4 linked regions of the Danio rerio genome follow. The protein of the gene in region 4 interacts with the protein of the main gene of each other region in a biochemical or structural test. Links are inferred from orthologs where the notes say so. Each region holds a gene or a part of one and is shown on either strand. Other genes may lie near its edges.

Evidence for each region.
Region 1: the proteins of ptpn1 (region 4) and bcar1 form a complex in vitro, tested with the Homo sapiens proteins (3 studies listed by BioGRID and IntAct, with this or other methods). The link is inferred for Danio rerio from reciprocal best matches to the Homo sapiens genes PTPN1 and BCAR1.
Region 2: of the proteins of ptpn1 (region 4) and cdk1, one has a biochemical effect on the other in vitro, tested with the Homo sapiens proteins (2 studies listed by BioGRID). The link is inferred for Danio rerio from reciprocal best matches to the Homo sapiens genes PTPN1 and CDK1.
Region 3: of the proteins of ptpn1 (region 4) and stat3, one has a biochemical effect on the other in vitro, tested with the Homo sapiens proteins (2 studies listed by BioGRID and IntAct). The link is inferred for Danio rerio from reciprocal best matches to the Homo sapiens genes PTPN1 and STAT3.

The regions. Positions count from the first base shown.
Region 1 is NC_133193.1:23,994,336-24,003,093, forward strand, and holds the start of bcar1 (breast cancer anti-estrogen resistance protein 1), read left to right. Parts: upstream 1-3,661; 5' UTR 3,662-3,886; coding exon 3,887-3,898; intron 3,899-8,758. UniProt on the Homo sapiens protein: Docking protein which plays a central coordinating role for tyrosine kinase-based signaling related to cell adhesion. Implicated in induction of cell migration and cell branching. Involved in the BCAR3-mediated inhibition of TGFB signaling.
Region 2 is NC_133192.1:22,202,540-22,210,375, forward strand, and holds the end of cdk1 (cyclin-dependent kinase 1), read left to right. Parts: intron 1-616; coding exon 617-740; intron 741-1,048; coding exon 1,049-1,219; intron 1,220-1,944; coding exon 1,945-2,108; intron 2,109-3,957; coding exon 3,958-4,099; intron 4,100-4,185; coding exon 4,186-4,299; 3' UTR 4,300-4,633; downstream 4,634-7,836. UniProt on the Homo sapiens protein: Plays a key role in the control of the eukaryotic cell cycle by modulating the centrosome cycle as well as mitotic onset; promotes G2-M transition via association with multiple interphase cyclins.
Region 3 is NC_133178.1:15,775,442-15,782,113, forward strand, and holds the end of stat3 (signal transducer and activator of transcription 3), read left to right. Parts: intron 1-3,306; coding exon 3,307-3,407; intron 3,408-6,060; coding exon 6,061-6,167; 3' UTR 6,168-6,607; downstream 6,608-6,672. UniProt on the Homo sapiens protein: Signal transducer and transcription activator that mediates cellular responses to interleukins, KITLG/SCF, LEP and other growth factors. Once activated, recruits coactivators, such as NCOA1 or MED1, to the promoter region of the target gene.
Region 4 is NC_133183.1:30,340,799-30,348,351, forward strand, and holds the end of ptpn1 (tyrosine-protein phosphatase non-receptor type 1), read left to right. Parts: intron 1-2,665; coding exon 2,666-2,838; intron 2,839-2,914; coding exon 2,915-3,185; 3' UTR 3,186-5,196; downstream 5,197-7,553. UniProt on the Homo sapiens protein: Tyrosine-protein phosphatase which acts as a regulator of endoplasmic reticulum unfolded protein response. Mediates dephosphorylation of EIF2AK3/PERK; inactivating the protein kinase activity of EIF2AK3/PERK.

The sequences.
Region 1 (8,758 bases), on a different chromosome or scaffold from region 4:
ATGGAAATACCAAGTGACGATATTTGATGGCAGTCTAGTCTTAGAATGTTTCATGTGGAATCATTTTAATCTTCACAAGAAGATTCAGGAAGCAAAGATCACCTCATTTTCACCTCTCTAGTGCTTTGTGACAGGCAGTTAGACCTCTCACCCCTAGACGAGCGTCGCCCAACACCCGCTATATAACAGAATTGTGATTAGTGGGCGCTGACGGAGAGAGCTTATTAGCTGGAGAGCGGGAGGGGGTGGAGCGCTAATTGAAATGATGTCTGATGTGATAGCCTAATCTCTACGGTGACAAAATTCACGCACACTTGCTAATTTCAATGACAGCCATGATGTCACTCAGGCTTAGCGGATGGAAATAACTAACAAACGTCCCAGGGCGTGTTTGAAAGAGAGAATGTCGTCTCGGACATCGAAATCCATCTTGCGCCGTAGCCGCTCCGTAGTGTGAGATGAAGTGCCTTTCAATTGTCATGGAGACCAGACATGGCACAATAAAAGCTTTAAATTCCTGCGGCACTTTCAATTAGGGGGGATCTTGCTGATCTGACACCAGTTGTGCCATGTAATTTATGACCATTGCTCATGTATCGAGGACTGTGTCTCAATTCCTGATCTGCCACAATTGGTAGGCTGTAAGCATGGATTTGGATACTAAGATGGGCTTAAATACACTAAACATTGGGATAATGGTGACACAGCAATATTAAAAGTCCCTGTTCTATTAGCATCAGTGCTGTTTAGCACATCATTGTAAAATATATAAATCAGTTAATTAACAGATGCTCTTCTTTTCTGATTCTAGGGCATTTCCAGTTTATTTATGCGTTCAAATTGCAATATGGGACGTTGATCTGTGCTCTAACAACTTTTAATGGTTAATTGTTTAAAAATAGAGGAAATCGGTGGCTCAGTGGTTAGCACTGTTGCCTCACCGCAAGAAGGTCCCTGCTTCGAGTCCTGGCTGGGTCAGTTGATATTACTCTGTGGTTTTTGGGCGGCCTTTTGTCTCGTTTTATGCTTGAACTACTAAATAAATGCTTAAGTCTATTTAACTGAATGTATTTTAATGACATTACAAGATCGATGCTGTAAAAGCAACCTTGTGAAATTGAAAATAGTCACATTAAGCTTTTACCGGAAGTTTTTTTTTGTTGGCTGAAAAACACTAGCTGTGCATATAGCCCACAGATTATTTTAGATGAACTATCCCTATAAACTAAAGTGATACATAACTGTACACTAAGGCAGAAAAAAGGCTTCGTCTTCAAATGTATACATTATTATTTCATAGTGAATTAATATAGTGAGCACTAACTGAGTGTTTCTCAACCACATTTCTGAAGGACCACCAGCACTACTGTACATATTTTGGATGTCTACTTTGTCTGTCACTCCCATTACAGGTCTTTCAGTCTCTGCTAATGAGCTGATGATCTGGATCAGGTGTGTTTGATTAAGACATGACAAATTTGCAGAGATAGGAGCGTGGTTGAGAAACACAGCACTGGCTCACTGGAAAAAAGCTTTGAAAGGCTTTGTTTTCATATATTTACATTATTATTTTCTAGTTAATTAGTATAGTGAGCACTAGCTGATTGTATGACATTTTAAGGCAATATCTAGGTTATTTTTAAAATGCACTGGAAGGATTTTGACAATGTAATCCCTACAGATGTCATTAGTAATGTACTTTTGTGTTGTTCCAAAATTTTACATTCCTTAAAATATGTGTTTTTATGTTGCACATATGAAAATGTTATACCGGTTTAGAAGAAAATCAAAGAACTTTATTTGAAAACTAGAGAGCGAATTGAAAAATGTCTTTAATCCTATTTTACCTCCAAAAGAGATGGTCATCTCTACTAAATTATCTCAGTCTAGGTCATTTATGAAACCATTAATCAACAAGTGATATTACAAAATTGGCTTCAGCTTAAATTGAGTGAATATTTTCCTTCAGATCAGGTCAGATTTAGGAATGCTGATGTGAAATCTTGATGCCCTGTTGTCTCGTACCTCTCTGACCTCCCCTGACCTCCCCTGACCTTAGCACCAGGCCACACCATGATGTCGTGGCAGTTTGAGGTCATTATGCATCTTTTCTGACACTACTTTTAGAAAGGCATGTTGACTTACTCTGTGCCTCAGAATCATCTGAGGAGTAGATTTTCTATCTGTTATCTGTGAATCGCAGGAGACAGTGCATTAGGACATTCTGCTTTTGTCTGTTTACCACATTGATTTAAATGTGGATCCCACTTTGACCCCTGACCTGGTCACTCCCTCATGGGGGAACCAGCGAATGATGTCATGCTTTGAAATTCATGGTGAATTGCGAACACTAAAGCAAACAGGGGCAGATTAGCTTAGTTTATTTACTTAACCAATGGTCGTCATTCAGAGCTATTTCATTTTTAAATAGATACAGATAAAATGTCCACATTGTTTATTTTGCATTTTGATTTTTTTTCAAATTTGTTGTTTTATTGAAAAAAAAAAAATTATATACAAATGTTGTTACATACCTGTATCTCGTTCATTCCTGAGCCGAACATGTACACACAAATGTGCAATCATTTTATTTAATTTTTTTATTACATTTTTTATTCTATTTTTATTTAATTTGATTTAATTAGCTTTTATTCATTTTTTATTATATTATATTATATTATATTATATTATATTATATTATATTATATTATATTATGTTTTATTTTATATTTTTTATTTAATTAAATTTTTATTTTATTTCATTTATTTGTTTTATTAAAATTGTATTTTATTTAGTTTTATTCTATTCTATTCTATTTTCTATTTAATTTGATTTTCATTTATTTTTATTTAATAATATATATGTATATAAATATATATATAAATAAATAAATATATATATATATATATATATATATATATATATATATATATATATATATATATATATATATATATATATATATATATATATATATATATATATATATAATTAGTCTTTTTAAGCTTCATATGTTTTTTTTATCAGTCTGTTTTTTCTCTGTAGTTTGTGATGCATCTAAATGATTGTACTTTAAAATAGAGACAGGAAATTAATCAAGAACAAAGTTTTGCTTCAGCAATACTCTGAATAAATAGCTATGTAAATAAATCCATAACAAAGCTTTCCATCTCAATCTTCCCAATCCTTCCTTTTCTGAATTGATGGTACTTTAATAATTCAGGCAAGATATATATTGAGATAAAACAGGTTAAACATTTCCAAACACTGCAAATGTCAATAGAGAGTTAAACTTTTGTCTCCTTGAGAATGGATTTACTGCTGGAACAAAAGGATGGGCAACAAAATCAGCAAGCCAAAAAGTTGAGGCTGAAGGAAAGGGTCTAGACAAAGCTGTGTGTTTGTGTGTGATGGCCAAAAAACCCAGTATGTGTGTGTGTGTTTCTCAGGTCTACAGAGAGGTTCACTAAACATTCCTCACAGGCAGGGGGAGGAAGAGTGTAAGGCTCATTAACATAAGAACAGAGTCCTCGGCCAATCGGCAGCAGGGAAAGGGAATGTCAGGATTGAGAAGGAACTGGGAGGGTGTCAGGTTTCCCTGTGCATTCTTCCCTCCTCCTTTTGCCGGAGAGGGTGGGAGAGAACGAGCGCAGGAAGGACGCAGTGAGAGAATCAGCGACTTCAAGAGACAGAAGTATATGGGACAGTCTCGTTCTTGCCCTCTGACATCACGGAATTGGAGTATGTGTTAGAAGCTGACTTTCTGGGAGACGCGGAGAGGTCTGACAAAAGAGTGGACGGTCCGAGTGGGATTTCTTCGGGGGTCAAATCTCAGGCAGTTTAGTGCTGTCTGGAGTCCCAGAGACTCGCACGGCAGGGCTGAAAATGAATTATCTGGTGAGTGTGCTTGCTGTTCTCATTGTTGTGTGAGCACTTTAAGTTGGTTATGCGAAATGCCCTCGGGTGATACTTTCTGAATCAATGTCTTTGTGGACAGCAGAAAAACAAGAGAGTCTTCAAGATTGGCTTTTATCAAGTTTTCTGTCTTATTAGCATTATATGATTTGTTTTTATGGCAGCAGGAGATCAAGTAGCTTGAAAAGCTCTAAAAGAGGCAGTGTAACACTTTTTTGAGAGGCTAGCAGTATATATTTGAAAATGAGTATATATTTCTATTCTTGAAAAGAAAATATTGAGCTTTTTCTTGAGTTTTGAAAGCTGTGAGAAAGCAGGCATAACAGGAGGACGAGTGGACGGAAAAGGAACCCTGCCACTGTTAGCTTCTTCTTTGCTGACTCAGGAGAACGCTGGAAGATTAAGGTTTTTATGGAAAGAAGTATGGAGAAATTTTAGGGAGAAAAGAACAGCGTGACGTGACGGCCGGACCAGTGAAGCATCCATTCCTTGCCATTGTTTGAAATTGCTGGCTCTTGTTCAGCTTGTAAGAGTTGAGAATGACACAGTGCTTAGGTATTTGGACGTGAGAGTTGGGCTGTGCTGTGTTTCCGTATGAGAGGAATCTGGTTCTGGGATTCACCCCCTGCAGAGGCCGGGATATTCCCTGGTCATTAAAATAGACCTTGAAATGGTTATGGGCAGTTATTAATGCAGTTCAGACAGATGATTCTTGGAGATGAGAATTTAGGATTTTCTAGTTAATTTTATTTTTGAAGGCATTTATTATTTTTAATTTGTCTACATATATTGGAAATCTGTCAGTTTAGTCGCTTATTCCATCTGGTGTTAACACGCTTTTAAATGTGTCTTATAAGCAAGTTTGTTATGGTACACTAAAGCTAAGTATGACACTTTGAATTGGTTCACTTTTTTAAATGCATCCTATAATGATTACGTGATATGATATGTAGGTAGTAGCAATAAATGGATGGAAAACCCAAACATTAAAATTTACTCAATATTTACTGACCCTCAAGTGAAACTTTATAATTTTCTCTTTTTTACTTTTTAACATAAATGTGAATATTTTTAATAAATACTTGAAACCCCTATCCATTACTATCCATGGTAGAAAATCAATTGCTATCGATTTCCAACATTCTTCAAAATATTTTTTGTTCAACATAAGAAAGAAATGTATGATTTTTATTGTATGTATATATATATATATATAAATATATATATATATATATATATATATATATATATATATATATATATATATATATATATATATATATATATATGTATATAGAAAATCTGTGAATTGTAGTCCGTTTTCCACCTAAATGTCTCTATGTTACAACACTTACAAATCAGCATGTTATGCTGTTAATGTTAATAAAGCAAAGTATGACAATTTGTATTTGTTTGCTCTTTTACAATGCGTCCCATAATGATCACAGGATAGGCTGGTAGTAGTATTAAAGTGATGGTTAACCCAAATATCTACATTTTCTTAATATTTACTGACCCCTCAAGTGCTCTCAAGTATTTTCAAAACATTACCATTTTCTCTTTTTTTTTTTTTTTTTTTTTTTTTTTTACTTTTGAACATAAATAAGGATATATAAAAAATACTTGACATCTACATTAATATCTACAGTGGAAAATAAATTGTTACTGGTTTCCAACATTCTTTAAAATATGTTATTTTGTGTTTGATGTAAGAAAGACACTCATAAAGGTTTGGATCAAGTGGAGAATGAGTAAATAATAATAGAATTGTCATTTTTGACTGAACTGTCCCTTTAAACTGGTTTATACTGGTTTATACTGGTTTCTCCTGAGGTGGTCCATGATGAAGATGAAAATGGGTGATACGTACTATTGTGAGTGCATAGACTGTTGACTTATTGAGATCATTCTTTAGGTAACCAGGCTGAATCAGTTACTAAGTTAAGAATGTTGAGTCATGTTTTGTTAGGGATCTTTAAATAAGAGAAAGACTCCTTCTTCAGAGGACAGTTGAGTAACCTGAGTCCATCTCTCCCCGTGCATCGCCTCTCTGACTCAAACCCTGACTCACCCTGCAGCTCCTCAGTTTAGGAGAGAGGAATTCCCCACCACTGGCCTGAATCCCACACACTGTCCTGGGGGTCTGACGTACAGGACCAGCTCCTCATCCTCATTATCCTCATACTCGCATGCATACAATCAGCATCAAGTTGTGTAGAAGTAGCGCTGATCTAGTCCAAATTCAGCTCATTTGGTAACATCATGTATAGTTGACTAAAAATAATCTAAGCGCTACAGGAAAACATTTACAGAAGTTTACCTAGAACTAAAAAGGTTGGCAGGTGTGATCAATACTAGAATGTTTTTAGATTAATACTTAACAGAGGAGTGTGCTGATTTATCTAAAGCCATGTTTCCACTAGATAACAACATAGACAGAGAAGCATCTATTGTGACCATGTGTGTTCAGATTTTGAGTCTTTACATTAAAAAAGTGGTCCGATCTACTTTCAAAAAAAGTTTTTGCTACTTATTCAAACTACTTATTTAAAATGACCTGAATAAACACAATTCTTGAGGCTCTTTTGTGACAATTGTATTGTTTTTGTACAATGCACTTAAATTTGTAACAACAATTATATATAAAATTATATACACCAGAACAGACAGACACAGAAACAGTTTCTTCCGTCATCTCATGAACACTGTATGATAGTAATTGTGAAACAAACATCACTATTTTTTATACACATATACATTTATTTATTTAACAACATACACTGCGAAACACAAAAAGTTAAGGTAACTCAAACCGTTTAAGGACACCGATTGCAACAAACCATTTAAGTTTAAATACTACTCCTAATGAGTACTGTGAACTTAATCCATTTGAGTAAATGAAGCAATCTGAGCACAGTAAAACCTGATAAATGAATAGAAATCAAACCAACTGAGTAATGTAAGACCCAAAAGGTTAAGGCAACTCAAACTGTTTGAGGAAACCAATTGCAACAAACCATTTGAGTTTAAAAAAATAATCTATATAATCCATATAATAGCACAGCATTTTCTGCCAGGATAGTAAAGATTTACACTTTGTTTATTTCTTTCTGGGCCAGTTTGTTAGATGCAGATGAAATCATCTTTAAAAGAGAGAGACAGCTTTTAGATAAAAAATATAATAAATTATACATCTCCAACTGAAGAGACACAGTCATAGAGCCAGAGAGTCTTCTTTACAGAGGAAATTGTGTTACCGCTTTTTCATTTAACAGGAGACTCTCGATTGTTTCTCCTTAAGTGTCTTTTGAAACAACTGTGACAGCTTGTCATACAATATGATGTTTTATTATTGGTTTACTAAGCCTAATGCAGGTAATTTGGTCAGAGAAGCATTATATCAACATATTTCTTTACAGTTTGCAACTACTGGTTATTATTCTGGAGTCTTAAAGGGATAGTTCACCCAGAAATTAAATGTACTCATCATTTATATTCCAAGTGGTTCCATACCTTTATGAGTTTCATTTTACTGTTAAACACAAACAAAGGTATTTTGAAAAGAAAAAAGTAAGAAACCTGTAACTAGGCATGGGACGATAACTGGTTTCAAGGTTTAAAACTGCTAGAATTTTCTGTTATACCCTGCCTAAGGTATATTTAAGTTTGTTATTGTGTTTTTTTTTATTTTGTTGTAAAAACAATCAGTGTTTTTGAAACTATTAAAGATAGCAGAAGATGGTTTTTAATTATTTAGCCTGACATTTACTCTTCCAGAATATTTAAAATGTTTCTTAAAATAAAAATAGTGTTCAATAGGGGAAAAAGTTTTTTTTTTTACCCAGACATTTAAAAAGAACTTATATTTAAGTAATATCACAATACCGTGATACAGTGAAATTGTGATATATATATATATATATATATATATATATATATATATATATATATATATATATATATATATATATATATATATATATATATATAATTATTTTTTAGGGTTTTTCAACTTTATTGAAAAAGATTTTTACAGACAGGAAATGTGGGGAGCAGAAATAGGGGAAGGATCAGCAAAGGACCTCAAGCCAGGAATCGAACTCAGGTCACCGCGAGCACCTTGGTACTATGTGTCAATGCACTAACCACTAGGCTATTGGTGCCAATATAACCGTGTTATTTTTATCCAAGGTAATCATACCTTTAGAAACTTACCTGCCCATTCCTACTTGTAACTATTGACTTCCATAGTAGGAAACACAAATCCAATGGAAGCCTATGGCTACATGTTTCCAGCATTTTTCAAAGTAACTTATTTTGTGTTGAACAGAAAAAAAGAAACTCAAACAGGATTGTGACAAGTGTATGATGAATATTTTTTTAGTTTTGTGTGAACTATTCCTGTTTTTTTTGCTTTAGCAGGTTTAAGCTGGTATTTACAGGTTTGAACTGTTTTCCCAAGCTGCTAATCAGCTGGAAAAAGCCTAAAACTATACTAAATCCAGTCAGCAGACCATCATAACCAGGATGGTGGCAATCCACCCCAGGCTGTCTTATTACACAGATTTTAACCTCATTTGTGTCTACAAGTAACAATTGAGTCATTTAAAAGGACTTAATTTGTGATATTTCTTTCCCGTGGGTCTTTCTACAGCTCTGTCCATCGTCTCATTGAACATGGCCAGCAGATATTGTTAAGCTGCCAGAGTTTGGAAGGAATACGATTCTGTGTCTCTTTCAAACAAAGCATGAGAAATAACCTATAGCGGCTTATTTCAAAGACTTGTAACTCTTCAAAGAGACAACATCAAGGGTGTCCAATACAATAGCGAGTTAAGATAA
Region 2 (7,836 bases), on a different chromosome or scaffold from region 4:
GTGGTGGGTTAAAGACGGGTTGGTCTAATACAGCTTTATATTTTACTCTCTATCCATTGGAATGTGTTTGGTTTAATATATTTGTCCTGAACAATAAAAATAGTTATGACAGGATAATTGATGTCATCACCCACAACAAAGTAATATATTTTAACAATATTTAATATACCTCGCAAAAAAAATTGATCAGCATATTGTTATATCAGGAATTGTGTGATGACATTAAAATGCTGTTAAGGGTTCACAGTTTAAAAATGTATGTAGGTTGATAAACTACTACTCAAATTTGGGTGCTGTTTTTAATGCTTACCAATGCTTTGTTAATTTGATTAAAAACTATTGTGAAGTCTTACCACAGATTAATGTCTGTTATAAATGATGAATTTTCAGCATTATTACTACAGTCTTCAGTCTCATTATTCCTCAGAAATCAATCTAACATACCATTATTACTCCAGTCTTCAGTCTCAGTGCTTCAGAAATCATCCTAATAAGTTGATTTAGTTTACATTTATGTATATTACTAGTATCATAGTATAAACAGTTTTTGTTTTTCATATTTACTATGACAGTATATGTACTATTTTTACAAATAAAGTGTTTCTCTTTTTCCCAGCCTGCTAGATGTGCTGATGCAGGAATCCAAATTATATCTAGTTTTTGAGTTTCTGTCCATGGATCTGAAGAAATATTTGGACTCCATCCCATCAGGCGAATTCATGGATCCTATGTTGGTCAAGGTGTGTATTTTTTTTATTATTTTATATATATATATATATATATATATATATATATATATATATATATATATATATATATATATATATATATATATATTTTTTTTTTTTTTTATTTATTTATTTATTTATTTATTTTTTTTTTTTTTGGTACTGTAAATACAACGATTTTGTTTCATGTGCCTTTCATGCCCCGAAATACATAAATACTACATTCCTCAATGTTTTATAATGGCATGTGTTTGGATTCTATACTATAGTATTGAATGTGTATCTTGAAGTAACCGTGCTGATGTGTGTTGTCTATGTAGAGTTACCTTTATCAGATCCTGGAGGGGATTCTGTTCTGCCACTGTCGCAGGGTTCTGCATCGAGACCTGAAGCCCCAGAACCTGCTTATCGACAATAAAGGTGTAATTAAACTGGCAGATTTCGGCTTAGCCCGTGCCTTTGGGGTCCCAGTAAGAGTCTATACTCATGAGGTAAGTACACACATCCCACAATGGAGGCCACATTTCCATCCGCTATTACATTCACACTTAAAAAAAAATAGACATTTTTGTAATTGAGTAAAGGTGACATAAGTGAAAATTTAACACAAACTATCTTCTGTCAACTATATACTTCATTTATACCCTAAGAAAATCAAAGAAAATACTGAATGTGTATTATAGATGTATTCTTCGAGCTAAACCTATGATTTCTTTAAATTGGAAAAATGGATGTACACCAAATATAGGTTACTGGCTGAAAGAAATGGTTTTAAATACGACAGTAAAAAAGATAACCTATATATTAAAAGATAAATGCAAGGTTTTTGAGGGAGATCTTTCAAATTGTTTAGTTGTACTTTTTTAAATTAACTTTATCATATATTGTACCTATAATGTGGCTATTTCACACAGTCTCTCTCATTAACTAGCTTTTACTAACGCAATGTGTAAAGTGTTTTATCGTCACTTTATAATAATTTAGCAATTTAGGGTGTTTATTTTAAATATGAATATACAATACACAATTATTATTTTTTTGTTATAGCTGTTAGAAGTACTTTTTTACAGCTTTGGTCTATCATGATACAGCTTCAGCAGTTAATCGCAACAAGAAAATTTGATACTGGCAGAAGCCTAATACCAGTTGATGATACTTGCTCAAAATGTTATAATCACTAATGCTGACGTGTGTGCGCATGATTATGATTGTGCAGGTGGTCACTCTGTGGTACAGAGCTCCAGAAGTGCTGCTGGGGGCTTCACGCTATTCCACACCTGTAGATCTCTGGAGTATTGGCACCATCTTTGCTGAACTCGCCACCAAGAAACCTCTCTTCCATGGAGACTCCGAAATAGACCAACTCTTTAGGATCTTCAGGTAGACAAAGTTCAGGAATCAGTGTTGACATTTATTTATTTATTTATTTTTTATTTTATTTTTTTTTAACAGAGTTTTAAAAGTATAAAAGAAGTTTGAAAAGGTCAATTAGGGCTGTACTTGGTAACAAACTTATTTGCTCGTGTTAAACTGCACAGACATTAGGGTACAATATTGTATTTATAGTACAACATGTATTCTCTATGATAATATAATTGTTGTATTAGCGCACGTGTGAACATGTTTGAAAACCTTGAAATAGACATTCTCTTTTCTCTCTTACTCATGAAAACAATAATAAGTAAGGGAATATATTAGTAATTTTATAAAAGGGGAAATTATAACAGTAAGAGAAAACTTATAAAATGATAAAGTAACAATAAAGAAATGGTAACAATATTAAAAATGGTAACATTAACAAATAACCAAATAGCTAAAATTAAATCATGAACTAATGGACGATTAATGATAAAATAATCAAATAACATATCTAAATGACAGATAATTATAGATGATTTAATTAAAATATGTATAAATAAAAATAAAATTGAAAATAAAAGAAAGAAAATAAAATGCAACACTAATGTGTAGTTCCTTTCCTGAAGCAACATACACTAGTTCCAATAAACCTCCTCTGATTCTTTGTAGAACTTTTTTAGGAGGTTTTATTATTATCATTTGTAGTAGTTGTTGTTGTAGTTGTATTTTGCTAAGAGTTTTTAGAAGAAGAAAAAAAAAGTAAAATCCCAAAATGGGTCTTTTTTTTTTTTTTTTTTTTTTTTTTTTTTTTTTGTCAATGAAACTGGACCAAGCTTACATGGCATTAAAAATCAACAAATATTTATCTACATGCACATATTATTTTGATATTTGACACTAAGAACACTGATCAATAATCATTTTAACTTAATATAGTCAATATAACAATAGCAAATAACAAATAATAGCATTTTCCAGAAGTCCACTAGAAATCGATACTAACCATATGACTTTGTTTGCTCACATTGCAAGTTTTTTAGTGAACAGTTAATCTGTGCATATCATTATTTAAAAAAAATAGTTTGACCTTATCTTTAATTAAAATCTGAAAATGCACTTCGTTTTTCTTTTTTTTCTCTTCTCTTCAGTTAAATTGTCTGATTATATATATCTTAAGTATTGGGCATAGCTTTAACCACGCTGCTCCAACTGTCAGTTTTGACAACAAATGGTGAGGATGAGGTGTCTGTTAGGTAGTAATAACTCTCTTCTAAAACCCATTTCCAGATCTTTCTGTATGAAATGCTTATTTTATTACATCTACTCCGCTTGAAGCAACAATAAGTGAAGTTTCACAAACAAATTTCGAGAGGAGCACGTGATGTGATTGATCGCAGCTGGTCTCTCATCTACAATCATTAGTTAGCAAATCAGATTAATCCAAACTTACTATAAGTAGGCCAGCAAAAAAATACTTCCTTATCTTCCTTTTTTCAAAGAAACCCCCCCCCCCATCCACCCCTTCTCCCCCTTTCCTCCTTTACCACGGGGAGCTATCGAGAACCACCTGATCTCGTACTCCCCTTACATGCTCTATCGACCAGGCGGGAGCCCTGGGCTCAGTTATTGCTGAGCTCAGGGTTCTTTCCTGGGACAGCATGCCAAACCTGCTATCATTGTCAAACAATATCTAAGTGTGAACTCTTGAAAACAAAAATATGATTGCAGCTTCTGGTTCATATGGACTTACTGGCATACAAATAAAATATGGCTTTAATGTAGTTTTGTAAACTGGAATGCAAACATTTCACTAAAAATATAGTATTTTTCTTTTTTTGTCTTCCCTCTCTGTGGTTGATCTGTGTTTTAGGACTCTGGGGACCCCTAACAATGAGGTCTGGCCAGATGTTGAGTCTCTGCCAGACTATAAGAATACCTTCCCAAAGTGGAAATCTGGGAATCTGGCCAACACTGTGAAAAACCTGGACAAGAATGGCATCGACCTTCTCATGGTAAAAGACTGTCCTGATATGCTTGTGTCCTACTTGTTTCTTTGTGTTCATCTCACTCACGTATTTTCATTTTCTCCTTTGTTTAGAAAATGCTGATTTATGACCCCCCTAAGAGGATTTCGGCACGACAAGCAATGACACATCCGTATTTTGACGATTTGGATAAGAGCAGTCTTCCAGCCAGCAACCTAAAGATATAAACACAAACACATGCATACTAAAGCAAGCAATGTGAGCGTAGGGCTCACGGTGAATTCTGGGAGTTCAGAGAGCCCGGAGATGTAGATTTACTCCTCCAACCTGCAGTAATGCAATCCGAGTCTTTTGACACGCAATAATCAACCTTCAGTTTGTTTGTTTGTCAACTGGGTGGTTTTTCCTAATTTTGTTTGTTTTTTGTATGTCTTTTTCTATCCTGTTATATGTTACATAATACCCCTTGTAAATAAAGCGTGTATTTTTTGTCGACCTGAAGTGGTATATAAAAAGAATAAATTAAGGTGTTCCCAATTAAGAGCACTTTGTAGGATCCCATTTTGGGCCGATGTCTTTATCTACACTAATGCAGATATTTTTACATTGTGTTTAAAGTGGGTGTTTTTCTAGAGATGCTCAAAATTATTACAAACAATTATATATTTAAGATGTTTACATGTACATGTTATTTTGATCTTTTAAAGGCACAAAGAACACTGATCAAAAATCATTTTTAAATTGCTTCTATTTTGTTTTACTTGATAATGACAAAAACACGTAGTAATTGATAACATTTTCCAAAAGTGCCAGATAAACATACTGGCATACAAATAAAATATGTCTTTTATGAAATTTTAAAAGACGCACAAAATGCTAATTATCGTGGTTAATAGTATTATGCAATATCTGTGGTGCAGAGAAGTGTGATGAATGGATTTCTTTATGCCAAGCATTTGTGTGTTGCAAATTACCTCCAATTAAATACACAATTAAGAGTAACTCATTTTCTGATGACGTGACCCATGTTGTTTAATCTCGAGCCCTGTCACAAACACAGCTTGTTTTAAGCCAGCCTATGCTTGATGAAGTTCCAACGAAAACTCTTGTGCTGGTGATCCTAATGTGAACAGACGCTATCTATAGAGGATGAGAGAGCGCTCAGATTTCAACAAAAATATCTTTATTTGTGATCCAAATGAAGAAGTGTTGACTATTTAAATTTTTGGCTGAAATAATTTTAAATTAATTTGTGAGAAATTATAACAGTTATGTGTTGCAAAATGTACTCACCAGCACACAAAATGACTGGTTTTCTTCTGCCTATATTTTGTTAATTATTTTAGTATGCTAAATCGGCTCTTTTCCTTCTTTTTTTGGTAACCAAACACAAACTTTTCCAGAATGTCGCAGGGATGTTTTTTCACTATAAAATAAAAATCTGTTCAATTGAAATTCTGAGGTTGCCAGAAATTTACAGTTAAATATTCAGTAGAAACAAATTCACAGTAAACTCATTCATTCATTTTCCTTTTGGCTTAGTCCCTTTATTAATCTGGGGTCGCCACAGCGGAATGAACTGCCAACTTATCCAGCAAGTTTTTATGCAGCGGATGCCCTTTCAGCCGCAACCAATCTCTGGGAAATCACAGTAAACTACCATATTTAAATTTATAAAGTTACATACACCATTTTCACCTGCCATTATGATATGTTTACTAATGATAACATAAATATTTGTCCTCTGATCTGTGCTATAAATGCAATTTCTGTATGACTCAAATGATTGCAATCATTTTTTATAATTACATTTGCTGAATTTTCCATATCTTCTGTTCATTTATGGCATAGGAAGTAAGCTGAGGTAGCACCGAGTTCCTCACATCAGATTGCGCAATCCCTTGCAATCTGGCTTGAGCGCCTGCCTTTTGCTCACTCAGTGTGCTACCGATGTAATGCTTTATTAAAATGCTTTAATACATTGTAGACTTTTTTATTATATGCCCTCACTTTCCATATTATAGGTAATGTATTTCACGTATGTCTATCACTTATTTAGTGTTAAGATCTGTCATAAAGCCGCAGTGGCGGATTTGGGCATGGGCGATCACACAAGGCGGCATCTCGCTGGGGGCAGCACAGAGAGACGGAAAAAAAAAAAGTGCCCCAGTAATAACTTTTATTTCTTGGGTAGAGGATGTATTTGGGGTGGTTCGCTCAGGGTGCCATTTAAACTAGAATCGCCAATGAAAAGACATGAGGTGAGGCAGGCAGTAGCTCTGCCGCAATGAATAGGGTGCATGTGAGCTATACGGTTATTCTTGTTCAGTTGTTGCTCTTATATTTTGCTTCAACTGACTGCAAAAATTACGGATATCAGCTCAAGAATTTCTCAAAATTGGACTTTTAATCAAAACGTGGATAAATAATGGACGACCAATGCCGGAGCTAAAGGAATTGCTTCAAAGGACGGGACAGAAGAGAACGCGTCCATTTTAAACTAGTTCAAGTCATTTCAAGACTCCATTTACAAGTACTGTAGGTAAGAACAGTGAGCGAATCGTGTGTGTGTATGAGAGAGAGAGAGAGAGCGCATCCGCAGCGGTTGCTGTGTGTGTGTGTGTGCTGTGGCATAGCACAAAATGCATGGGCCTACCCGCAAGAGTTAAGGTTTGATTGCGTGAAGAGGGTTGGAGGAGGTGCTTATGATCGCACGAAGTGAAGACTAGGGGAAGGGTTCTTATGATCGTGCAATACATTTTACACTTTTCCTTGGCCCAAGATGTACCTGCCATGTGTCTACAAAGAATACTGATATAAAACACAATCAATAAATCTGATTCATGACTCTAAAAGAGTGCCTCACCAGCCACAAACCTCACCGCACATTACTGATATACATCAATGTGAGATATATGAGTCATTCTCATCGCAAACAGCTTTCCCACAAGCAGAGAAATAAACAAAACTTTACTACTAAAGTAACTTACTACTTACAGCGTGGGTCTCAAACTCGATTTCTGGAGGGCTGCAGCTTTGAACATAATTTACTTTAACCCTTATCAAACACAGCTGATCCATTTAATCAAGGTGTTCAAACGAGTCTGGAACAGCTTGTTTAGTTGGATCAGCTGTGTTTGATGTGGGTTGGAGCAGAGCTGTGGCCCTTCAGGAATCGAGTTTGAGACCCATGACTTATGATAACACACAAAACTGGAAAAGTCAAGTTCGTAGACAAACTATGGTGTCTTGAGAAAGCCTCGTCTGAAAGTTTTAAATTGTTTTAAAGTTTAAATAATTGAGGTAGTTTTAATAAGTTTGAAACAGTTATAACTACATACAGGCTAGCAGGAGCACCTGCAGGATTTTATTACAAGGTACGCACAAATCCAGCACCGCCCCGCCCCCTTAATCCAATCATGTCTAGAAACACTGTTGCTTACTTTTAAAGGCTACGTTTCGTTATGAAATAATTTGTTTCCTTTTTAATTTTAATATTTCGTTGAAAAAGCACAACAGCATCAAGGAAAAATCAGACGCAAGACGTAATCTTTAAAATTATTACATATTAAAAAATTGCAAGTGTGTGTCATTGTGATAATGCCTCACTATTGTAATTAAATCCTTACTTACCACTGACCCAAAATCATCCATCCACACAGTTGAGCTCAAACTAAAATAAATTTGTATATTTTTCTCAAGAAAAACATCTTTTTGAGATAAATTTTGTATATAGTTTGTTTCTTTAAAATTCACGTTTCCAC
Region 3 (6,672 bases), on a different chromosome or scaffold from region 4:
AAATGTCAATGGAGAAAGAAGCTTTTTGCAAATGTAATAAAAAGAAGTCTACATCCAGAGTTCATTCACATTTTGTTTTAATATGGAAATACAACTAAAGTCAAACAATGAAACACAAAGGCTGGAGATTTTCTTTCCTCTTGTAGTGATAAATGAACACATAGTCCAGCTTTTGCTTGAGAGCTGGACGTTAAGTGCAAGTTTTAATGATCCAGGAAGCAAATAGAGTTTTTGGCTTAATCTATTATTGGCTTTATCTTATGAACGTGCTCTTTAATCCTGTTTTCCTGGTAATGATACTAATGGCATAGAAAGTGTTTCAAGAAAAATTCTTACAAAATCAAAAGTGTTTGAAACAATCATTTAGTGCTTAATAAATTCTCCATGTCCATTCTCATAATGCTAACATGAGCAGTATGTGATATGTTAATATGTTTATTTTAAGAATGATAATGTAATTATTAGGGATCTGGCAACCCAAGATTAGTTTGACCCACAGTCGACAGAATTAACATTTAAAGCAATGTTTAATGTGAAATTCAACCATCAGCTGTTTTGAATTAGGCAAATAAAGGTTTGTAGAATCACTTCATGATAGTAAATAAATACACACATCTAGGTGTCCATCCCGTAAGATCAGCAAAGCCTGTTTTAAGTTCAATTTAATTTATTTCAGTATACTTTATCATCCTCAGTTGGGAAGAAACAAACAACATAACACAAACCATGCAGTAAATTGCATTCAAAGAAGAGAATTACACATTTAAATATTTAATTAATGGACATAGAAGAAGATTTCTTAAAACAATTGTATCTGCACACAGGCAACCTTTATCGTCTACCAGAAAGCAGTAACTCATACTCAGAGAATAAGATATGTCAAGAGTTGGATAATACTCTATTAGATTCATTAAGAGCTGATTTCTCATAAAATACCTGGCAACTTGTCTTAATACAACTGTAAAATGTCTCGAGTCAGCAGGAAATAATACCGCTCATACAAGTTGATTAATCTGACATATAGTTTATGACCACCAGAAACATCCCTAATTCTTTGCTATATGATCTAATCTTACCTTGCTGGTGTTTGCCGAACAGACAGAACATCAGCTGCCAAATTGTGTTTGTTTTCTTGTCTCGACACAAGCAGGAAACGGTGTTGAAATCCCACTTTATTAAAATAAACTCCCCGTATGATTTGTTTGGAGTGTTCACAAACATGCATGGCTAAACTTTGCCCCCTAGTAAATCATTTTCTTTGTTGAGACTTAATGATTGAGGACACCATAGTTAGGGTCAGATTAAAAGTAGGTTACGCTTTACTGTATGCAACATACTGTAGATAAATTAGATCTTTTAGTGCCTAATTATCAGGAGCAATAATCAAATAAACTCCGGAAGTTTAGATTGTGTACAAACAAACTCTGCAATTGGTTGTAATGGGGTTTTATTAACATTAGAAGAAAATGGCAGAGTTAAGAGGTGAGTCTAGACTCCTTTTGTTGCCAGATCATTCTATTAAAGGCACTAAAAAGAATTTAATAAAGAAGTTAATAAAATAACCAAAATAAATCAAAATACTTTCTTTTGTAAACCTACATTTTAATTTGATTTTAAAGTCTATTAGACTGATTTTGTTGGCCGATCTTGCTAGAAAAAGCACCAAAAATAAGTTAATAAATTAACCAAAATTAGTCGAAATGCTTTATATTGAATACCCCTTAGAAAAAAAGAACTAGTTGATATATTAACCAAAATGTTTTATATTGAAAACCAAAATAACATTTTTGATTGAAAAGTCTGTTAAACTGATTTTTTTTTTTGCCTGATCTTGCTAGAAAAATAAATCACTAAAACAAGAACAAGTGCATAAATTAACCAAAATTATTCCAAAGGTTTTCTATTACAAAAGATTTCTATATTAATTTTGTTGCCAGATCCTGCTAGAAATATTGAAAACCAAAATTCAAATTGAAAAGTCAGATTAGTCAGATGAATTTTGTTAGATTGTTTTATGTTAGGTTTCCCAGTGATGGGTTGCAGCTGGAAGGGCATCTGCTGCGTAAAACACATGCTGGATAAGTTGGCGGTTCATTCCACTGTGGCGACCCCAAATTAATAAAAGGACTAAGCTAAAAAGAAAATGAATGAATGAATTTTATGTTAGATCAATTATGTGGCCAGGTCCCGCTCGAAGAAATAATAATAAAAAAACTAGTTCAAGAACAAGCTCAAAAATGAGCCAAAATAAATCCAAATGCTTTTTATTCCAAAAACTTTCTAGATTCTTATTTGTCAGATTCTGCTAGAAGAAATATTGAAAACCAAAATTTTAATTGAAAATCAGCTTGGTTAATTTTTTTGTTGTTGTTTTTTTTTTAGATTATTTTTAACTATGTTGCCGGGTCCCACTAGAAGAATTTTAAAAATAAAACAAGAGCAATCTCATAAAGTAACCAAAATGAATCCAAATGCTTTTTTTATCCAAAAGCTTTCTAGAATCATTTTTTGCCAGGTCCTGCTAGTAGAAATGTTGAAAACCAAAATTTCAATTGAAACACTAAAGAGCATCAAGCTCATAAATCTATGAGCACACAAGCTCATCAATGAACCAAACTTCAATACAAATGCTTTATATTAAAAATCAAACAGGATGTCTTCATGAACCAAATCCAAACAGGCCAAGCAGGTTTGCCTGTGATTATTAAAAATGAACAGTGGTGGATGCCAAATCTGCAAAATGCCAGAAATACGCCTGTATTTAAATTTCATTGGCACTTTCTAACCTTTTCTATAAATTCAGTCAATTAATAAATGTAAATAATAATTAAACTAATGAAAAGCATGTTTCTTTTCAAATGACAATGCTGTTGATGTTTAATCTGCCACTTTAACATCCTCTAACATTCATGATAACAATCTGTTAAAGGGTTAGTTTACCCCAAAATGAACTTAATTTGCCTATCTATAAGATTGTTGAAACCTGTATGACTGAACCCCTTCCACATTGCTGACATTTCTCAAAATATCTGATTTTCCACTGAAAAAAGAAAGTCATGCAGGATATGAGGGGAGTGTACACGATGACAGAAGTTTCATTTTTGGGTGAACTTTCAGTATTAAGCAAGTGGTGTCCATGTGTGCGACTCTAAGTGTGGGTTTGTGTGAGTTTTAGTAGGTGTTTCTGACACATATGTAAACTAGGACGGAGGCCGACTCATGCTGTGAAAGATTTCTTACTAAATCAACACATCTGTTTGCGTTTCGTTTGTCATCATGTCTAATGTCAATGTCTTTCTTTTGCAGGACTAACTCTGGCAACACAAGCGATTTGTTCCCAATGTCGCCTCGCACGCTCGACTCTCTCATGCACAACGAAGCTGCTGAGGCCAATCCAGGACCTCTCGGTGAGTCATGACGTTTCAACAGCTTATCATGTTTATGAAAAAAGATACATATTTATAAATAGTCGAATACAAAATAAAAGTTTGTTCGACATAAGATATGTGTGCATTATATATATACATATATATATATACAACAGTTCTGTCTGGTTCTCAAATCTGATTGGCTGATAGCCATGCAATATTCTGCAATATCAGAACTCCTACAGCCTCTTTAACCCTTTGTGTATTACTCCGCCCACATACAGCCAGCAAAAAGCAGACACTACAGATCTAAAGTTTAAAAGATGCACACTCAACTGTTTAACTGTCAGCTTATGATTTGAATCCGGAAGAAAGTAGTTCCTCATACACAAGAGTTTTTGAGACTCTCCAAGTTTGATTTTGTTTTTATATACACAATTATGCTGTCAAACTCGTAGCAGTGCGATAAGGCAACGCACGCTTCCCACCAGTGCCGATATACAGCCATATCGCACTGCTACTCGTGTGATATTGCTCATATATATATATATATATATATATATATATATATATATATATATATATATATTTATATTTACCGTGTGTTATATACACATACAGTTGAAGTCACAATTATTAGCCCCTCTTTGATTTTTTTTTTTCTTTTTTAAATATTTCCCAAATAATGTTTAACAGAGCAAAGAAATTTTTACAGTATGTCTGATAATATTTTTCCTTTTGGGGAAAGTTTTATTTCAGCTAGAATAAAAGCAGTTTTGATTTTTTTTTTAAAAAGCAATAGAGTCAAAATTATTAGCCCTTTTAAGCTAAATGTTTTTCAATAGTCTACAGAACAAACCATCATGATACAATAACTTGCAATAACAATAATAAAATATAAGGTTTACAGTGCAAATACAATTAGAATCACTTGTTTAATAAACCAAGCTACAGTAAATCTCTCATATAATACATCCACTAAAAACAGGAATCATTAGTTTACAAATTATGTTGTACATAAATCCTCAACATCTGCTTATTTGTCAATGATATTGCTCTAATTAATATAAAAACGATAATGTAATATGTGTAAGAATAAATATTTACTCCCATTTACAGAAGAATGTAAAATGATTGAATGGTGGGCTCAAAAAGAAATCTAATAGTAGTATTAATAATAAATAATTACATCATTAAACGTGTATTTAAATTACTTTTCTAATTACTATTTTCCAAGGCATGTGCAGTTGTCTGACAAATCCAACATTTAGTTGAGAAATGAAATTATTTAACCCGCAAAGTATCTAAAGAGGAAAATACAATCACACTGTTCTAGTCTACAGTAATATTTATTTTATCATGAATTAATTAATCACTCCTTTTATTGTTTCTTAAGCATGTTATGTTGTCTTGATAAATGTCACCTTTACTTGAAAAACTATTGTTTTTATATATAATATATTTGTATAGTAAAAAACAATACAATAATTTCTGTTTTTCAAAATTAATTTATAAAGAACTGTTGAATTTAAGTTTCTGTGTAACTGTAATGGGTTATATGCACATGGACTTTTAATTTTAGTCAGCCAGCCTCAGCAATCTTTCCATTTATAAAATTGCCATGTTAAGGTCTGATTTCTTTAAAAAATTAATGATATTCACTGCCTGATAGATATAGGATATAAAGTGGATCTCACACCGGCCAAGAAGAACTGCGTCAAATTCCATTTCCCGCCATCACATCTTAAAAATGTGGCCGTTTATTTTACCCCAGTGTTTCTACTGTCAGAGTTTCTGCGCTCGCCTGCTGATCCTGACTGCTAGTGGTTACTTGGTCTTTAATTTCGATTTCCCTTGAACAACTAAATAAATGAATAAGTCTATTCAACTGAATGTACTTTAACTACATTACAACATGGATGATGTAAAAGAAGCCATATGAAATTGAAAATAGTCACATTAACCTTTTACCCTTGTTTGTAACCCACAATCAATTTGTACATAAACGAAATATGGCAAAGAGAATGGGACAACTGCATAAAAAATAAATTACATGAAATTAACCCGTAAATAAACAAAAGGCATTTAGCAAATTATAGTTTTGAGACCAGACATGATCAAACGGTCTATACCAGATGTCGAATCGGACATTTTAGGTTTGCTGAATAACGAAGAATCACCTAAATGTAATGTACTGCCAGGCTGCTCTTACCATAAAACAGATTTTGTTGGAATGTAGAAGTTTAAAATCCATTTGACAAAATTTTTATAAGGAGGGTATTTTGATGGACATCTTTAAAAAGGTACCACCCGGAAGAGTTTTAAATTATTTATCAAAAATTGAACTGAAATATCATATTTAACTTTGAAAAAGAAATGTGTGCCATTTTATCTATTAATATTTTATATATTTGTCTATGTAACTTTTTTTTTGTAATATGAATTTGTTTTTATCATTTAATATTTTATGTACATCCATTTTGCCACGAAATAGCCATAAGTTGCTGATGTGGCAAGAAATAAATAATATATAAATAAATTAACCTTTCACAGGAAGTTTATCATTGGCTGAAAAACAAAAAACAAAAAAAATCCCTTACTTTTTTTTTTTGAGGATAAGTAATTTAATGAAAGTAACTTATTACAGCCAACCCACCTTCTTATAATACTGTGTGTTGCCATGTTTCCCCAGAATCCCTCACTCTGGACATGGAGTTGAGCTCTGATCATGCGTCACCCATGAGAGAAGGGTTTGCAGCCTCCACAGTCTCGGATATGGACACCTGCCGAAATGCTTAGTTTTCCAAGATTTTAGTTTCATTTTTTTTTTTTTTTTTTTCCATTGGGAAAAGCAATTTTCATGTATATAGTGAGCTTAGGTGCTACAACTGCTTTCTCTCTCCGAGCCAAATTTTGCATTTCTTTTTTTGATTTTACAGTCAGTCAAAAGTGCAAACAAGCTAAAGTTTTCATTTCAACCTCGACAATACTGAAGTTGACTTTAAAATTAAAAAAAAAAAAATAATAATGGTTACACTGTAAAAAATGCTTTTCTTGTTTAAAGTTTTTGTCTTGTTTCTAGTCCAAATATCTACAAAATCTTAAAGGGCACCTATTTTACCCCTTTTACAGGATGTAATAATCTTTTGGTGTCTCTAGAATGTGTCTGTAAAGTTTCAGCTCAAAATACTCATCAGATTATTTATTATAGTAACCAGAATCTGCACATTTCGGTGTCTGAATACAGTGTAGCTGTTTCTGTAGCATGTCTTTAAATGCAAATAATCTACTTCTCCCCACCCAC
Region 4 (7,553 bases):
TGACATTACAGAAATGATCTATAAACGGCTAAGCTTGTTTTTGTTAACATAGAAGGGGTCAGGCTTTTGTTTTGTTGATAGTTTCAATTTTATTTAAAGCTTTAGCATTCATGCAGCTGCAGAAACATCCAAAGGCAGAAGTGCAAACCATAGCTAACTTATCCGCCAACTTGTCCAACATATGTTTTACACAGCGGATGCTCTTCCAGCTGCAATGTTTACACATTTGACTACATTACAAATTCTGTGGATGAATAAGTATTGTGAGCAGCTTCAATGAAAACATGGAGCAACACTTTCACATGTCGAGATGTATGTAACGTGTGTGTGCGCTGGCACTCACCGGCTTCTTCACGTGCACACGTGTCAAGCAACTGAAGCAGAGCTTGAAGATAAGCAAACAACTGTTTTTCATAAGCATTTTATCGCTAATTCTTTACACAGTTTGCATTAAGAAGGAACAGAAACTATAGGTGGGCATTGATTACATATTTTTTTTAATCTAAATTAATCTTGGAATTTATCAAGATTAAAATGGCTCATTTGAATTTTGCCAAAGGCATTCAGAATGCGTGCTAACCAAAAAATAATTCTTTGAGAATGGGTTTCTCAAGCCAGATGGCGCATTAGACAAGTGGTTTGTTCTTTGTTTGTGGATTACTCAATTAGCTGGATTTGGATGTTGACGATTTGACACGATCCAGGATCGTTTCGTTCTTCAAAACTCATCTGAGACTTGTTGTCATAGCAACAGTTCTGATAGATCAAACCTGCGTAGGAGCAGGTTCATTTTATAAAAACAGGATTAGATCGGGTCAGTACAAGCAAAGATAATACTGAAAGTATTACCAAATGCTGATAATTTCTTACACTATTTATATACACTTGGGAAAATAGTATACAAGTTAAAAGATGTATTGATAAAACTTATGCAATCTGCACTCCGAAATAAAAGTAAAAGACTGCCACCTGGTGGTTCAAAGAGAAAATTTATCGATAGGAACTTTTTAGATGCAAACGTGTACATGCAGAATATTAGACTTCATAAATGTTTTTTTTTAAATGTAATAATTTATGCAGTCATGCACATGTTTTGAACACTAATATTCTGGTGATTGCATTAAATTACACCTTTACCGATATCAAAATGTTTTTTTGATGCTAAATTAATTTATACAGTTATTCCTTACGCTATTTAAAAAACTTGAGTATGCCTAGGCTACTTTAATATAGAAAATCTTCTCTAAATGTAGAACTAAATACATTGATATGCATTGAAATACATGATGAATACTCTTGACACTTGTAAAGTCTGCAGTCCACACCAAATGTGGAAAGTTATTGCGCGTCACATTTAACAAACCATTTACTGCTAATTTGATGTAGTTTTGCTCACATGGATAATTAAATATTAATCAGATGATGTCATTACGCTGCTGTGCCATCAGCCAATAGTTACATTGCTAATCATGATTTCGAGGATCGATAGATCTGTCCATTACAACACATGCAGCGATCTCAGATTAGTTTATCCAGACATTTTAATCTGATTTCATAACTTGTTTGAAGAACCAAATTATCAAGATCAGTTATCAAGATTAAAAGATCCAGGATCTGCCAAATCATCTTAGATCATTTAAGCGAGGTACGAAGAACGGACCCCTGGGGCTCATCTCCTGTTTCCAAAATGCATCACAAACTGCTTGAGAAACTGTTCTACTATGATAATTAGTGATGAAAATGAATGATGTTCAATAAGATGTACTTGTGTTTACCAACTGCTTTTTTAGTTAAACAAGAGTTTTGAACTGTAGGCCTACATAAGCTCGAACCAGTGATTTTTATTTATTTATATATATATATAAAAATGTTTGAGATAACCTTAATCTGACTTAAGTCATAACTGAACTGAACAGAAATGGAATTAAGACATGGAGTATGCATATATTAGGGGCATTATTGAAGTAAACACCGCAATCAAACTATCACCGTCATGTAGGACTTTTCGCCATTTTTTTCGACAAGATCCACACACGCGGCTGTCATTAAAGGACCACACACATGCATATTTCAAAATGCAGAAGTTTTTTTGCTTTCCATTTGGTGTGCGTTATTAAATTTTATAACACTCTCACCAGTCCTTATTTGAGACTAATACCCCAGTTTGTCACGGAGGATGAATTAAATGTTCATGAGTTAAAGTAAAAACTACCGAACTGCTGTTAAAGTCAGGCATCCTGCTGATTTGATTAAGAAGGGCACTTTTTTTTCAGACAGCTCACCAGTCAGGTATACATCCGTGCTAAAATATCAAGGTGAAAGTCATCATAGCTTGCGTAGAATTGACCCAGCTCCTAACCCAACTTTGAGAATAGATTGTGGCGATATTTTTTTATTGAGCGATAGGAGTCTCGAGATTTGTTGAGAAACTGTATGAGGTTACTTGATAAAAATCATTGATCCGTTTGGGCTGAAGTGACAATCTGCAAGCTTTGGATGTTTATATCAGTTTTAGATTTTCTTACCGTTTATTTTGTCACTGTTTGGTTCACACTATCTAATAGATACTCTTAAAACTAAGACTAAAACTGACATCTAAAAAACTTTATTTTAAATTTCACAGGAGAAATTCAGTCAGTGAAATGTGTTTTGCTTGTGTGAACAGGAGTCTTGGAAGGAGTTATCCAATGAGGAGGATCTTCCCCCTGAACTAACTCCTCCGCCCAGGCCACCGCCCCGAATAGACCCTCCTAACGGCAAAGGTGACCTAGGGAACTCTGACCTCGCACACCTCTTCACCGAGAGCATCACAAACAGTGCAGAAATATGTGCAAACAGGTCAGCCTCTCTTTCTCACTAGTAATTATCATCCAAACCCAACAAGCACATCCCAACCTGTCTGGTGTTTTTACAGTGCGCCCAAGACATTCACAGACGGGCCAGAAATTCGCAAACGAACAGTCCCAGCAGAAGTCGGAGCATTGCCATTGGTAAATGAACAACCCGACGAACCGATCATCCCAAGAGAAGCTCCTCCCAAACCTCCGCGATCTCCTCCCTTAACTCCTGCAACGGAGGCTCCTACCACTGCCGCCCAAGAAGCCTGGAGCCCCCTGGTGGTCAGCTTGTGTTTGTGCACGGCACTGGCCGTAGGTGCTTATTGTTACCGCACATATTTCCACTGATGTCCTCTCTTTCCATCCGTCTCTTTCTCTATCTCTCCGATAACAGGCGGGATAAGAAAAAGAGAGACACACACAGACACTCACTCTCTCTCTCTCTCAGCTGGACCCATCTCTCCAAGTGGAGAAAGGGTTTCAAAGACTCCTCTCAGCCAAACTGCTGTTGTCTCCCTCTAAACACACTTTTACACACACAATCTAATAAACGTGTGTCCGTTTAAAACCTCAGGGCCTCACAATTCAGGTGTTGCTACCCAAATGTTATACACAGCTAAAAGAAAATCCAAAAGACTCTTATTGCTGCAGTAAGTAAGGGAAATTTTTGTGTGTGTGTGTCTGTGTGTGTGTGTGTGTGTGTGTGTGTGTGTGTGTGTGTGTGTGTGTCTCCATCATGTTTTTTTGTTTTTTGCAATTTAATTCTGACGACTGTCAGTGATGGAGCTGTTCAGGAGCTCCTTTTATACATGCTGAACACACAAACCTGCTGTACGTGATAAAAAAAAAATCTGTTTGTATGTGTGTGTGTGTGCGCGCGCGCGTGTGTGTTGGAAAAAAGGGAGGTCACAAGTAGACTGGGATGTCGAATACTATCAAGTGCTCAGTGTTACGCTACTTTCAGAGTGTAAAACATCCCAAACTTTTTCTCATTTTAAACATTTTTTTTTCCATCTTTGTGTACCCCCAAAGGTGACACTGGCACTTCTGTGTATGAAAAGAGATCATGTGACTGAAGCACCGTCCTCTCGTTCATTCATTCGACGTTTTGTCCAATCAGTCTTCGTTTAACCAAAAGGTTCAGATCATTGAAAATGCTGGAGCTGGTGTCTAGACGTTCAGTACAAACTTTTTCTACAGAAGCCCAATGCAATAATAGTGACTGCGGCCGATTAATAATCTCCAATGAGAGCTGGCATTTCAGTCATTTGAAATAATCATTGTGAATTTATATGGGTTTTGATAACATTTCAATTAAAGTTTGCTGTGGAAATCAAGTTATTGATTTCAACCAAATCCTTCATTGTTAGAACCTCTAAATACTCTCTTATTTTCTCATTTGTTTAATGATAGTCTGACCAGCAGGTGGCAGTATTGAGTATGATGAGATATTTCAGAGGATTGGATGGGGTTTGTTTTTTTCTGTTTTCCCTCCTGCTGCAATACAGATAAGTTCAGATGATTCTGACCCACGTCACATGATTTGATCGAAGTTCACATGGGGTCAGACTAACCAAAACAAAAACATAACACCAGCACCGAATGAATGCAAAGAGAGATACGACCAGTGACAGTGAGCTGTCTTTGTGTTTTACTGTTTTATTCTATTATTATAGTAATTATTATCGAGAGAGATTAACGGCAGACGGGCATAAACATTTCCTTCAAATCAATCAAACCACGCTGCAGAACTGTTACTTTTGAACAATGTGTGAACAAGTCCAATGCAGTAACCTCAAAACAAAAAGCAAGCCTCTTCTTTAAGGTGCACCGAGGCCTGAAACGCTTTTAATCGTGACTTCGCTTTGTGTGGTGTCTCTCTGACTGCTGCTTGACCAGTCCAGAATGGTCATTTTTTTCGGGGTCGCTGGGTGGTTTTTCCTGTCTGTAGGGTTTCGATGTTTTACATGCTGAAGCAATTGTTGTTTGGTTTGAAGGTTTTGTCATAACGAGTGCCACCATTCATCGTAGTGACTCTCACAATCTGGTCCCAAAGCGGGACCGCAGAATGTAAAGTCTCTTCTTGCCGGCTTTATTTACACACATACGCATATATAGAGAAATTTATTTGTCTGTGTCATTGTTTGTCGTCTTTCAGTTATCTTTGGCCTTTCTGTAACGAGGCTGAGAATTTAGTTTCTCTTCCCAACATCCTGTTGTGTCCTTTTTAATGTTGATTCTTTTTGTTTTGTAAGTAAAGCATATGCTTGTTCCAGTTGGATGTATTGACATTTGAAATTTTATTTTTTTGGACAGAATACAGAGCAGACGCTGTGGTAATAAACATATACATCTCTGATTCTCCTGTTTTATTGCTTTTGATCTTATTTCATTCTTAGTTCCTCAGATATTATTATTAATAGTCTCATATATTGATTTAATATGAATAAAATCTCTCGGTGAGTGCTAATGGTAAGGTAATTCTAAATCATAGATTACAGGCTGAAAATCTATGAGAAGTATGGTCTAGTTTAAGCTTGTTTCATCATCCTCTTACTATTTAGTTCACGCTTGCGTTTGATACCACATTTAAAATGTCACAGAAACTAAATGTATGCAGGTGTGGGTTGTGGACTGGTTCTGTGCCCTGGGGGTCTAAGACTGCCAGGGGCTGCCAAAGCTTTAGCCAGACTAACTGGAGACCAAAAGTTGTTGAACCGGTGTCCTCAGTGGCACTTTTTTAGCTTCCTGAGCTACTATGTACAGGTAGTAAGCTAAAGTGCCACTTATTTGAAGTAACAAAGTATGTAAAAACACTTATTGGCCCCTTTATTACGTACTCCTGGCTAGTACCTAGTTGGAGACCCTTTTTTGTCTCAATTCTTCAGCATGTTGACTCCGCGAGGTGCTATGAATATTCCTCCAAGATTTTGGTCCATGCTGATTTGAAAGGTCAACAAAGATTTATTGGCTGCACGTCTATGACGTCAATCCTTCGTTTCGCCACATCTCAAAGGTGCTTTATTGGATTGAAGTCTGGTGACTGTGGAGGCCATTTAAGTACAGTGAACTCAGTCATGTTAAAATTATACAGTTTGAGATGATTTTTGTAACATGGAGTGTTATCCTTAAGATGGGTTCACTGTGGTCATGAAGGGGTAAAAATTTTCCACAGAAATAATCAGGTAGGCTGTGGTGTTTGAAGAATACTTCATTGGCACTAAGGGGCCAAAATGTGCCAAGATGTTGTCTCCTACAATACTGATATGAGAAAGGATGGAGCCATGCTTTCATGTTATTTCCACCATAATTTTGAAACCATTTGAACATCAAAGTAGAAATTGAATCAAATAAGACCAAGCAAACTTTTCTATTTTCTGTCGTACACTTTTGGTGACTCTGCGTAAACGATCCTCGGTTTGCTTAACAGGAGGTGCACCTGTGTGATCTGCTTCTGTAGCTCATCTTGCTTCAAGTTTGCATGCTGTGTGTTGATCTTCTGCTGACCTCTGTTGTAATGAGTGGCTATTCAAGTTGCATTTGCTTTTCTATCTGCTTAAACCAGTTTGGTCTTTCCCCTCTAAACTCTGTCATCAATAAGACATTTTTCACCTATAGAACTGCTGCTCTCAACGGTGCCGAGACGTTCAAAGTACAGAGTGGACCAAAAAACATTCTCAAAACATTCCATCATGACGTCAGTGGTTCAACTGTAATGATTCAAAGCTCCACTCAACGTCTGTGTGCCAAATAACTGGGAAAAAATGATTTTCTTCACCAATGTATTCTCTTTCGTGTCATGTGAAGGTGCGCGCTAGTGTTTTTAGTGCCAATGAAAAACTTTTCAATTCAATTAACCTTTATTTGTATAGCGCTTTTGCAATTTAGATTGTGTCAAAGCAGCTTTACATAAAAGATCAAAGTAAATTGAAACAGTGTAGTTCAGTTTTCAGAGTTTAAGTTCAGTTCAGTTTAGCTCAGTTCAGTGTGGTTTAATAATCACTACTGAGAGTCCAAACACCGAAGAGCAACTCCATCGATGCGCAGCTCTACAGATCCCGAACCATGCAAGCTAGTGGCACCTTAAACTTCCAGTGAAAGGTTAATGTGACTATTTTAAAAATTATGAGGTTGCTTTTACAGCATTTACATTATAATAAATTGATTTGTTTCTAACAGAAATAAACATTAAAATTCTTTAACAAAAAAATACATTTCAACATGGTCAAAATGGAGCGGGATAAAGCACAAGCTTATTATTTTACCACCCCATTATTACACACATCATTTGTCTATTACTTAAACTAATTTCTTCTTTTGCTTGAGACATATTTCATCCTTTTGGCATCTTTGACATATTATGTTTGATTCCATTTGTACATTTTATAACAGACCCAAAATATACAGTATTGCAAACAGCCAGAAATTGAAATTTCATTATACCTTTCTAATTTTATTCTTTTTCAATCACCTTAATCATTCTATTCCTTTAATAATATATATTTATACAACTTTTTAAATTGATGAATATCCTGACATTGTTTGAGAGTCAGTTCTAGACACAATTTTTTAAGTCGTCTTAATCTTTCTTTCTTTCTTCAAGAAACATTTGTATACATTTCGTAAGTATTCCTATAGCTTTAAACATAAACTGTGCTGTTTTAAATTTAACTAAATCATTGAACTTAAGTATCTTTAAAAGAAAAAATAAGGGAT